Saccharomyces cerevisiae S288C: one gene and its partner. The gene in region 1 interacts genetically with each later gene. Each region holds a gene or a part of one and is shown on either strand. Other genes may lie near its edges.

Region 1 (6,836 bases):
GAAACTCCAAGTCCGAACCCGCCCCGTTGCCCTCTCACTACTCCTCTGTTTCCCTGTCTACTTTCTCATCCAATATTACTAATAGCGCCACCAGCAATAATGGTTCAAATCTACCCGCTTACACATCTTTGACTACGTTGAAGGATTTGGATTCGTTTTCCATCGATGATCTGAAAAAGATACTGATTTGCGCCCAGGAGGACTTACACGATGTGTTGTCCCAACAAACTTCGCTTTTGCAAGATTTTCAAGAATCGAAGTTAGAATTAGAACTAGAACTGGATAACTTGAAAACACATTGGTCGCACGAAATTGACTTGCGGAAATCCTTGAAATCCAATATCAAGTCATTGGAGAATTCTAAACTATTGACCGATTTGAAAATCGAAAAATTGAACAAGAAAATCGACAAATCCAAGGAAAAAATATCGAAAATGCGCAATGATATGCAGAAATGGTCTCAGGAAGATACCGAGCTGTTGTCTAAGGATACCATAAAGGAGAAATATTTCAAATTGCTAAATGAATCCAATGCCTCTGTGGCCAATATCAACAAAGAAATTGAGTCTTTACAAAATGAAATTTCCAAGATGGAGGAGTCTAACAAGAGATTGAACGCCTCCAAAAAATCATTGATTACTTCCATAGTGGTGAATGCCAATGTGGAAAACGATAAACCTATTGCTAGCGGAGAATTGTCGGCTGTTTTGAAGAAGCTCAATGATTTTACTTTAGAAAAAAATGGATTTTTAAGTAATGCTGGTGAAGAGTTTCTATCCAAATTGAATGCAGACTCATCATTGATTAAAATGATTAAGCAAGAGCTAAGCATTGATCAAGAATTGGAGGCCAACTGGAAATTGCAGAGGTCAAATTTGTTGAAGAAAATTAGTGCTTTAGAAAACCAATTTAATGAAATGAGCCTTAATAATCGGAATTTGAAAACAAAATTAATGGTTCAACCATATAAGAATAACGGTGATTCGCTTGCTGCCACCAATTCGAATAATTCCGCGGAAAAAAACAGAAGTTCTGGATCGATTCAATTACCATTATCCAACAACATGTCAAGAACGGGGTCCATTGATTTAATATCGAATAATAACAAAAGTATTAACAACAGTAATGCTGATTCTGCTCCTCCGTTGAGGTTGCACAATCCAGTTTCGTACTCTCCTTCGAATGAACCCATACAACCTTCAAGCAGTCTATTGAGTCAATTGACACAGGACACCGATAATCGATCAATGCTCTCCAATCACATCTCATCGAACAACGAAAACAAGCAACAGCCTTCTTCATATTCACATGCTTTACCTACAACTGCTACTGCTAATGCAACAGCAACAGCAACAGCAACTAATGGTCACTCAAGGTCAAATTTATGGACCACCGCACAATTCGCTCAACCTTCGCATCAACAAGTATCTACAGAATTGGATCAAGCTTTTGAATACGATAATGCAAACCACTTAATCAGTGGTTTGCAAAATATGATCTACGACGAAACAGACTATCCTGATAACATAAGCAATTATTCCAAGGGTTTTACTACAGACGAACTTGACAATTACTGGACTAAGCAGCAACCCCAGGTGCGCAGCACAAATGAAAGTCTTTTCTCTACGACTGGAACACCTATGTCATCATATAAGGCTAACCCAGTAATATCTCCATATTCTAGTTCTCATTTGCGACAAACCTCCAACGCAACCAATACGAATCCTATGCATCCACAGAGTCTACTCGCCGCTACATTGAATGATCCTTCATTACAAAGTTTTGTACGCAGTGGTTCTTTCTACAGTGCTCCGCAACCTGCAAACTCCTTACAGAACAATATCAATGGCAATGAAACCGAGAACATTAGTCCAAGGATATCAAGTGACTTCAATTTATTGGTGCCAAACTTGAGCCCACGACTCTCAAACGATGTGCCCATTGTTCCAGGCAATAACACTACTTTAACACCTTCACACTCGAACATATTAACAATGAACCATCAACCAACGGCGGATAACATTACACGAAGATCTTTCCATGCCTCTTCACCACCTTTCAACTCCATATGGAATTCAAATACAAATCAACTTTCTCCTCCATTGGAGGAGCAGTATCACCTCGATGTGCCTGTGGGTCCAAAGGTTCCCGCTAAAGAACCAAGCCCTAAGCCTTCTCACAAGAGGAACCAAAGTAACAGCAGCATTTCTTCTGCATGGTCCAAGTTTAAGCACAAGTCTGCATCATCACCTGCTAATGCGGACACGGATATTCAAGATTCATCAACTCCATCAACTAGTCCAAGCGGTAGAAGAATGTCAAAACTGTTGTCCAAGAGCGGTATGAATAATCTATTTAACCCGCACAGTCACGACTCATGAACAATATTATAATACTTCCAGGTCGTGTATATATGTAGATATATAAATTATGAAACATAATATATGAAAGCAGTTTGAGCTTATTCTTAATCATCAATAGGGTAACGGTATTAATCTCATTTTTTCTTTTTTTTTTTCTTTTTATTTTGGCGTCTCGTCTCAATTTCATTTTTCCCATCTTTTTACAACTTCAATATGAAAAACATAACACATGAAAAATAACTGTCAACATTAATAATATTCCTTGCATAGTGCTTCGATTTTCCAAATATAAAAACAGTTTCTTTTACAAGCTTATTTAATTTTGGTTTTAAGGAGAAAGCACTAATAAAAAGGGCAAGGACTGCAATCAACAATCTTTATTGGCGAACAGTTAAGGGTCCTCTCGAGAAGAAACATTAAGACATCATCGCACAAAAAACATGGCGCCCATCTTTAGAAATTACCGGTTCGCTATCGGTGCTTTTGCCGTTATTATGCTCATTTTGTTGATTAAAACATCTTCCATCGGTCCACCTTCTATTGCACGTACAGTTACTCCTAATGCTAGTATTCCCAAAACTCCGGAGGACATCTCTATCTTGCCCGTCAATGATGAACCAGGTTACCTTCAAGATTCGAAGACTGAACAAAACTATCCTGAGCTTGCCGATGCTGTGAAGTCACAAACAAGTCAAACATGCAGCGAAGAACATAAGTATGTTATCATGATCGATGCCGGCTCTACCGGTTCCCGAGTACATATATACAAGTTTGACGTCTGTACTTCCCCACCTACATTACTTGATGAAAAATTCGACATGTTAGAGCCTGGTTTATCTTCTTTCGATACCGATTCCGTTGGTGCCGCTAACTCCCTTGACCCATTACTGAAAGTAGCAATGAACTATGTCCCTATTAAGGCAAGAAGTTGTACTCCCGTTGCGGTGAAAGCTACTGCAGGCCTAAGACTCTTGGGTGATGCCAAATCTTCAAAAATTTTGAGCGCTGTAAGGGATCATTTGGAGAAGGACTATCCTTTCCCAGTTGTCGAAGGTGATGGTGTTTCCATCATGGGCGGTGATGAAGAAGGTGTCTTCGCCTGGATTACTACAAACTACCTATTAGGTAATATCGGTGCTAATGGCCCCAAGTTACCTACTGCTGCCGTTTTTGACTTAGGCGGAGGGTCTACACAAATTGTTTTTGAGCCTACTTTCCCAATAAATGAAAAAATGGTCGATGGTGAGCATAAATTTGATTTGAAGTTTGGTGATGAAAATTACACCTTGTACCAATTTTCTCATCTAGGTTACGGTTTGAAGGAAGGAAGAAATAAAGTTAACTCTGTTCTTGTGGAAAATGCATTAAAAGACGGCAAAATATTGAAGGGTGATAACACTAAGACTCATCAATTGTCATCTCCATGCCTACCGCCTAAAGTTAATGCCACAAATGAAAAGGTTACATTAGAATCCAAGGAAACTTATACCATTGACTTTATAGGGCCGGACGAGCCAAGTGGTGCACAATGTAGATTTCTGACTGATGAAATTTTGAATAAAGATGCTCAGTGCCAGTCTCCACCATGCTCTTTCAATGGGGTTCACCAACCTTCTTTAGTTCGTACATTCAAAGAATCGAACGATATCTATATTTTCTCTTATTTCTACGACAGAACCCGTCCATTGGGTATGCCCTTGTCCTTTACTTTGAATGAATTGAACGATTTGGCAAGAATAGTGTGTAAAGGCGAAGAAACTTGGAATAGTGTCTTCAGTGGCATTGCGGGGTCCCTAGATGAATTGGAAAGTGACTCGCACTTCTGTTTGGACTTATCTTTTCAAGTGTCCTTATTACATACGGGATATGACATTCCATTACAAAGAGAATTGAGAACTGGAAAGAAAATTGCCAATAAAGAAATCGGTTGGTGTTTAGGTGCGTCATTACCATTGTTGAAAGCTGATAACTGGAAATGTAAAATTCAATCAGCTTGAATAAGAACATGGACACCGCTTTTCGTCCCATGTATATTAAGGAAGAGGAGATTGCGGTGATATGTATTCTGTTATATGTCCTATTCTATAACCCTTGAACAATATGTAAACGATTTTTACGTTATGAAAATCACTATTATCCCCACAATAGTTTATTATAACACCGCCGCCAAGACAGGGGATTGAAAAGGCCTTCCGAGGTTTATCCATTTTTGGTAAAAGCCCGCCACGCCTTCAGGTGTTTGAGTATGAACTGGAAGAGTTATCTGTTAGGACCTCATAATCTTGAACATATGAGATAATTTAATATACTTTTGTTATGGATTGTTCCGTTGTTTTAAGACTATATGGCTTTGTTTTAGTTTTAGGGTGATTGTGGATATCACACCGGTCCTCAAGAAAATCGAAAACAAAAGGATAATCGGACTTATCTGGTGATCGAAGAAACTGCATTTCAGGTCGTTTAATAAACTGCTAGCTATTGATATTATATATATAAATAAACCTACAATCAGGTTAGTGTATTCATCTCACTTCTATAGCGTTGTGAAAGGGAAATGGAAATAGTGCAATCTCAATAAATCTGCTTACGTGACATTTTTTACTAAAAGAGAATATGAAAACTGATAGATTACTGATTAACGCTTCCCCGGAGACATGTACCAAGGGAGATGCTGAGATGGATACTATGGATACTATTGACAGAATGACATCAGTTAAAGTTTTAGCGGAAGGCAAGGTATTAAGCAACTTCGAAGAACCGGGCTTAATGAGGTGCGGTTATCATGATGCAAAAAACTGGGTCAGAAGATTATCGAGCGAAACAATTGTCGGTGAGGACACGAGTAATTTATACCCATTTTATGTTGATACTGCATACGATGTAAGGCGTTTGAGAAAGGATCTTATAAATGCTAAGGTTGACTTGCAGGTTGAAAACCTGATAATAATCTGCAATATTAATGATATTTCCACTGTATTTCTCATGAGAGAAGTGGTGGAATGGATCTTACGCAATTTCCATTCAATAACTGTATATGTACAAGATATTTTTAAAAAGTCAACTCAGTTTGCTGTTGGTGACCTCTGCAAAGACAGCAATTGCAGTAAAAACAGAGTAAAGTATTGGTCAAAAGAATTTGTTAAAAAACACGATTCATTCTTTGACTTGATGATTACACTAGGGGGTGATGGAACTGTCCTTTTTGCTTCATCTATATTCACGAAAGATGTTCCGCCGATTGTTCCATTTGCCCTTGGATCATTAGGATTTCTAACAAATTTTGAATTTCAAAATTTCAAAGAAACGTTGAAACATATCTTAACAGATGAGGTTCGTATTAATTTACGAATGAGGTTGCAATGCAAACTCTACCGTAGAAATAAACCAGAAATTGATGCCGCAACTGGGAGAAAAATATGTTACATCGATTTCATCTCCGAACATCACGTATTGAACGAAGTAACCATAGATAGAGGTCCAGCTCCTTGTTTATCCCTATTAGAACTCTATGGAAACGACTCACTAATGACTAAGGTTCAGGGAGATGGATTGATTGTTGCCACGCCTACGGGATCCACGGCATACTCATTGAGTGCAGGAGGCTCTTTAATATCGCCAAGCGTAAATGCCATAGCGGTGACGCCTATATGTCCTCATACTTTGAGCTTTAGGCCTATAATTTTACCAGATAGCATGGAATTAAAAGTTAGAGTAGATATGAACTCAAGAGGGACGTCGTGGGTGAATTTTGACGGAAAAGATAGAGTTGAATTGAAACAGGGTGACTATGTTGTGATAACTGCAAGCCCCTATTCGGTACCGACTATCGAGTCATCTGCCAGTGAATTTTTTGAAAGTATCAGTAAAAATCTTAATTGGAATGACCGCGAAGAGCAGAAGCCATTTGCACATATTCTCTCGCCAAAAAATCAAGAAAAATATAGATTAGACTCATCGAAAAATGGAAACGACACCATAAGTAATCCCCTCGAGAGTTCATGCATAAGCTCAGATGCACAAGATGAGGAGAGGAAATCCGTAACGGAAACAGAAACAGAAATAGTTGTTGAACGGACTCGTCAGGCTCATTTTGCAATCTAACGATTTCCCACATCCTGCGTTTCCGTAGTCAAGGGTTCATAATGGATGATGAGCCTGTAAACAGCTTTGTATTTACCTCTTTTACTTCAAGAATGCTCTTGCGTCGTTTGCAGTGTCGAAGAAGATCCAGTAGAGCTATACAAAATGGAGAAATGAAACAGTTGAACCAGAGCGCCGCATTTGGCAGGTAGTTTCGCTAAATTTCCTCATGCGCGTTTGTAATTATGCTAGTTAACCATATGATAAGGTTGCCTAACTTGCAGTCACCGGAAGGTTATTTCCGGAATGGTGCAGAATAATTTTTAAAATAGTAGCATATATTTCGTTCCAATTCCCAAATAGGGAATTATAATTATGACAGATAAATTCCCG
Region 2 (4,711 bases), on another chromosome or scaffold:
AGAGAATCACGATGAAGCTGCTTGTGACGCACTATTTGTCGTTGATGGCACAGAACAAAGGTGACACGAACAAAAGGATGATTGGAATCTTGCACCGGGACCTCCCCATAGCACAATTGATCAAGCACGTTTCTGATTATGTCAATGATATATGCTTTGTGAAGTTCAACACTCAGCGGACCCCGGTCCTAATTCACCCGCCATCACAAGACATCACATTCACGTGCATTCCGCCCATTCTGGAGTATATTATGACAGAGGTATTCAAGAACGCTTTTGAAGCTCAGATAGCTCTTGGAAAGGAACATATGCCCATAGAGATCAATCTTTTAAAGCCAGACGATGACGAGCTGTACTTACGGATACGGGACCATGGTGGTGGGATCACGCCCGAGGTAGAGGCCCTCATGTTCAACTACTCTTACTCTACACATACCCAACAATCAGCTGACTCTGAGTCTACAGATCTGCCCGGCGAGCAAATCAACAACGTCTCCGGCATGGGCTTTGGTCTACCAATGTGCAAGACGTACCTAGAACTGTTTGGGGGCAAGATTGACGTTCAAAGTTTACTTGGCTGGGGCACGGACGTGTACATCAAGCTCAAAGGCCCTTCTAAGACTGCACTACTCTCCAAAAAGTAACAGTGCTAAATTTCCTCGTAAAGCGGTACCATTAAGGGCTCTTTCTACTTCTTTAAATTATCTACATATGTATAAATATTCTTATTATATAAGGCGAAAAAATGAACGAGAAAAAAAAGTGTTGAAAGTATGCATTCAACTGGCTCTTCAACAAGAGACTCAATCAATTAAGCAATCGAAGATGGCTATTGATGCTCAAAAGCTTGTGGTGGTCATCGTGATCGTGGTCGTGCCTTTGCTCTTCAAGTTCATTATCGGACCGAAGACCAAGCCTGTGCTGGATCCCAAAAGGAATGACTTCCAATCATTTCCGCTGGTTGAAAAAACCATCTTAACGCATAATACTTCGATGTACAAGTTCGGGCTACCTCATGCTGACGACGTACTCGGTTTACCAATTGGTCAGCATATCGTAATTAAGGCCAATATCAATGGTAAGGATATTACCAGATCGTATACGCCCACATCGTTGGATGGAGATACAAAGGGAAACTTTGAATTACTAGTGAAGTCTTACCCCACAGGTAACGTTTCTAAGATGATTGGAGAGTTGAAGATAGGTGACTCGATCCAGATCAAGGGCCCTCGTGGGAACTATCATTATGAGAGAAACTGCCGTTCCCATCTAGGGATGATTGCTGGTGGTACTGGTATTGCGCCCATGTATCAGATCATGAAAGCTATTGCCATGGACCCTCACGACACTACCAAGGTCTCTCTAGTCTTTGGGAACGTCCATGAGGAGGATATTCTGTTGAAGAAGGAACTGGAAGCGTTGGTGGCCATGAAGCCTTCCCAATTTAAGATAGTTTACTACTTAGACTCTCCTGACCGTGAAGACTGGACTGGTGGTGTAGGATACATTACCAAGGATGTCATCAAGGAACACTTGCCCGCTGCTACAATGGACAACGTTCAAATTTTGATCTGTGGTCCTCCAGCCATGGTTGCCTCAGTTAGAAGAAGTACCGTGGACTTGGGGTTCAGACGTTCCAAACCGCTTTCCAAGATGGAAGACCAGGTGTTTGTGTTTTAAGATAAGGAACTGTAACAGAGTGCCATATATATATATATAGATTGGAACATATATAATATATACGCTATTTAGTTTAGTCACCTAAACGCACCGTTTCCATATTTCGTGCTGGACGATTTTCGACTCGATAATACGTATAAGATCGGTACTAATAGTAACAAAAGTAAAGGTAATACTTGCTTCAACTGTACAAAGGAGCATAGAACGTGGGGCAATTTACAAGCGATGTCGACGTCAGTCCCAGTCAAGAAGGCATTAAGTGCTCTTTTACGCGATCCAGGAAACAGTCATTGTGCCGACTGTAAGGCGCAACTACATCCACGCTGGGCTTCCTGGTCACTTGGTGTTTTCATTTGCATTAAATGTGCTGGTATACATAGATCATTGGGAACGCACATTTCGAAAGTGAAATCTGTTGATCTGGATACATGGAAGGAAGAACATTTGGTGAAACTGATACAGTTCAAAAACAATTTAAGAGCTAACTCATACTACGAAGCTACTTTGGCTGATGAATTGAAACAGAGGAAAATCACTGATACGAGCAGTTTACAAAATTTCATCAAGAATAAATATGAATATAAGAAGTGGATTGGTGACCTCTCCAGTATTGAAGGGTTAAATGATTCTACTGAACCAGTTCTGCATAAGCCGTCTGCGAATCATTCGTTGCCTGCTTCGAATGCAAGATTGGACCAGAGCTCAAATTCATTACAAAAGACGCAAACACAACCACCTTCCCACTTATTAAGCACCTCAAGGAGTAATACGAGCTTATTAAACCTACAGGTTTCATCGCTTTCTAAGACTACATCTAATACAAGTGTAACTAGTTCTGCAACAAGCATAGGTGCTGCTAATACCAAGACTGGCAACAGAGTCGGTGAATTTGGGCAAAGGAACGATTTGAAAAAATCCATTTTATCTTTATACTCAAAACCTTCTGCCCAGACTCAAAGCCAGAACTCATTTTTCACTTCCACGACACCTCAGCCTTGTAATACTCCGTCACCATTCGTGAACACTGGAATTACCGCTACAAATAATAATAGTATGAATTCAAATTCCAGTTCTAACATTTCATTGGATGATAACGAGTTATTTAAGAACGTCTGGAGTTGAATAAAAAGTAAAAAAAGAAAGCAAATATAGAAAGCAACAAAAAGAACATCATTCCAGTATATTATTTTATATAAAGAAAATGACCTTCAAATAAAAATAGAAAGTACGTATTCTTATCTTTTTTTTTTCTTTTGTATATGTAAAACAATACTATTAGTTTTTGTTTTTTTCTTTAATGGAATGGGTTTCTGAAAAGACTATGTTTCATCTCGTAGTTATCATTGACGTCTGTTGTGGGCCCTGTCCTCGTTTCATTCGTTACCACGTCAATTTTATAGTTTGCCGAATCATTATTGTCCCAATATTCCTTCCTAGAACGATCAACGCCCCAAGTTAAGTATTGAATACAAAACTCCAATTGTGATATATTGCTATCTTTATCATTTGGATTGTGTATATCATCAATGGAGAACTTAAAAATATCCATATTGCTTCCTGGTAAGATGCCATTGGCATTAGAAAAATACACGCATTCTGATTCATGAAAAGTTCTCCATGCATCCCATGTATATCTTACGATAATCTTCTTATCAAAGTATATGTTTTTCACAAAGACTTTGCCAATTATAACCATGTTGTGGAAGCCAGTTAGTAGCGTAATTTCTTGCAAAAAAACGGGCCTTCCACGGGAAAGATTCAGAAATATGTTAAGTTTTAAACTCTTACGGTTCCTGTCACTTAATATTGGAAAGTTCTTGTTGTAAAGACCAACAATTCTTTTAGAGTTTCCAATAAACAAGTTGGCTCCTGATTTAGCAGAATTTGTTCTTGTTTCTAAATAATCGTCGTCATCGTTTATTAACAAATTCTTCAACCCGTGCGCAAGATGAGCTTGGTCTTTGTCTTGTTGCCTTACTAAACGGTTTATAGCGTCGTCACTATCATTGTCATTTTCAATATCACTGTCATCGTCACTTAGTTTAAACTTCTTTTTTTTATTTCTACGATTATTAGAATTTGTACCAAATAGGAATACACCCTTCGGGTTTTGTAGCCATGTATCTCCATATTCGTTTTGGTTGTTTTCAGATAGTAAATCTTCTATAGGTACGCTATCACTACCGCCATTAAGGGCACTTAGTCTCGTCAAAGGCTTATGCTTGAAATTCAGAACATCTTGTTGAACCATTTGTTTGCCAACATCTATGGGTTTCTCATTTTCATTGAACAGCTTTATTGGTAAAACACGATCGAAATGGACACTTTTACTTCTTTGCAATAGCCTAGTATCTACATGATCTAAATTGACATGTTTACTCTTAGAGCCAGTTTTGTTGAATATAGATTTGGGAGTAATGGGTAGGGACTTGGATCTTCTTTTTAATGAACTCTTAACCAGTTCTCCAGATTTCTTGTAAATGGGAGGTGAAGGATTACCATTTTCCTCGGATTCATACTGGAAATTATCATGTGATAGAGGAGAGATTTCGTCTTCCTCCTCGCCTAATTTACTGACGTCTTGATGATGTGCGTTAAAGTTCGCTCCAGAATTTATAAACGGGTGATGGGCATGAACTTGTTTCCCATTAAAATACATTCCCTTATTCATGTCCGTATTTCTTTGAAGCTCGTCCTGAGGTAATCTGTGCAGTTTTACATTAGATAGTCTCCTGGGCTTGTGCAAAAACTCCAGAGAGTTCAGCCTGGCAGGGTGCATGTGCATGCTCATACCAGCAAAAGTTCTTATATTCGCATTTATGTTTCCATAGTTATTGTTGTGGGCACTGTTATTAGGAAGATTTAAAGGTTCATCCATCAGTATATTTTGTGGTTGCGTGGTGGTGGCCATACGGATAAAAGCAATAATACTAGCTAGCTATATTATCTTTTTTTATTTATTATTAAGCTATTACCAAAGCTGGCGCCTCAACTGTTGGGTTCTTGTCTATTTTATGTATATTCTATATTT

Evidence for each region.
Region 2: mutations in GDA1 (region 1) and AGE2 together harm fitness more than expected from each alone (negative genetic interaction), as found in Saccharomyces cerevisiae (3 studies listed by BioGRID).

The regions. Positions count from the first base shown.
Region 1 is NC_001137.3:70,968-77,803, forward strand, and holds GDA1 (guanosine diphosphatase), read left to right. Parts: upstream 1-2,803; coding exon 2,804-4,360; downstream 4,361-6,836. Other genes in the region: GTA1 (Gta1p), read left to right, coding at 1-2,381; YEF1 (NADH/NAD(+) kinase), read left to right, coding at 4,977-6,464. UniProt on the Saccharomyces cerevisiae protein: After transfer of sugars to endogenous macromolecular acceptors, the enzyme converts nucleoside diphosphates to nucleoside monophosphates which in turn exit the Golgi lumen in a coupled antiporter reaction, allowing entry of additional nucleotide sugar from the cytosol.
Region 2 is NC_001141.2:271,041-275,751, reverse strand, and holds AGE2 (GTPase-activating protein AGE2), read left to right. Parts: upstream 1-1,905; coding exon 1,906-2,802; downstream 2,803-4,711. Other genes in the region: protein kinase PKP1, read left to right, coding at 1-644; CBR1 (cytochrome-b5 reductase), read left to right, coding at 826-1,680; putative protein phosphatase regulator PIG2, read right to left, coding at 2,975-4,591. UniProt on the Saccharomyces cerevisiae protein: GTPase-activating protein for the ADP ribosylation factor family.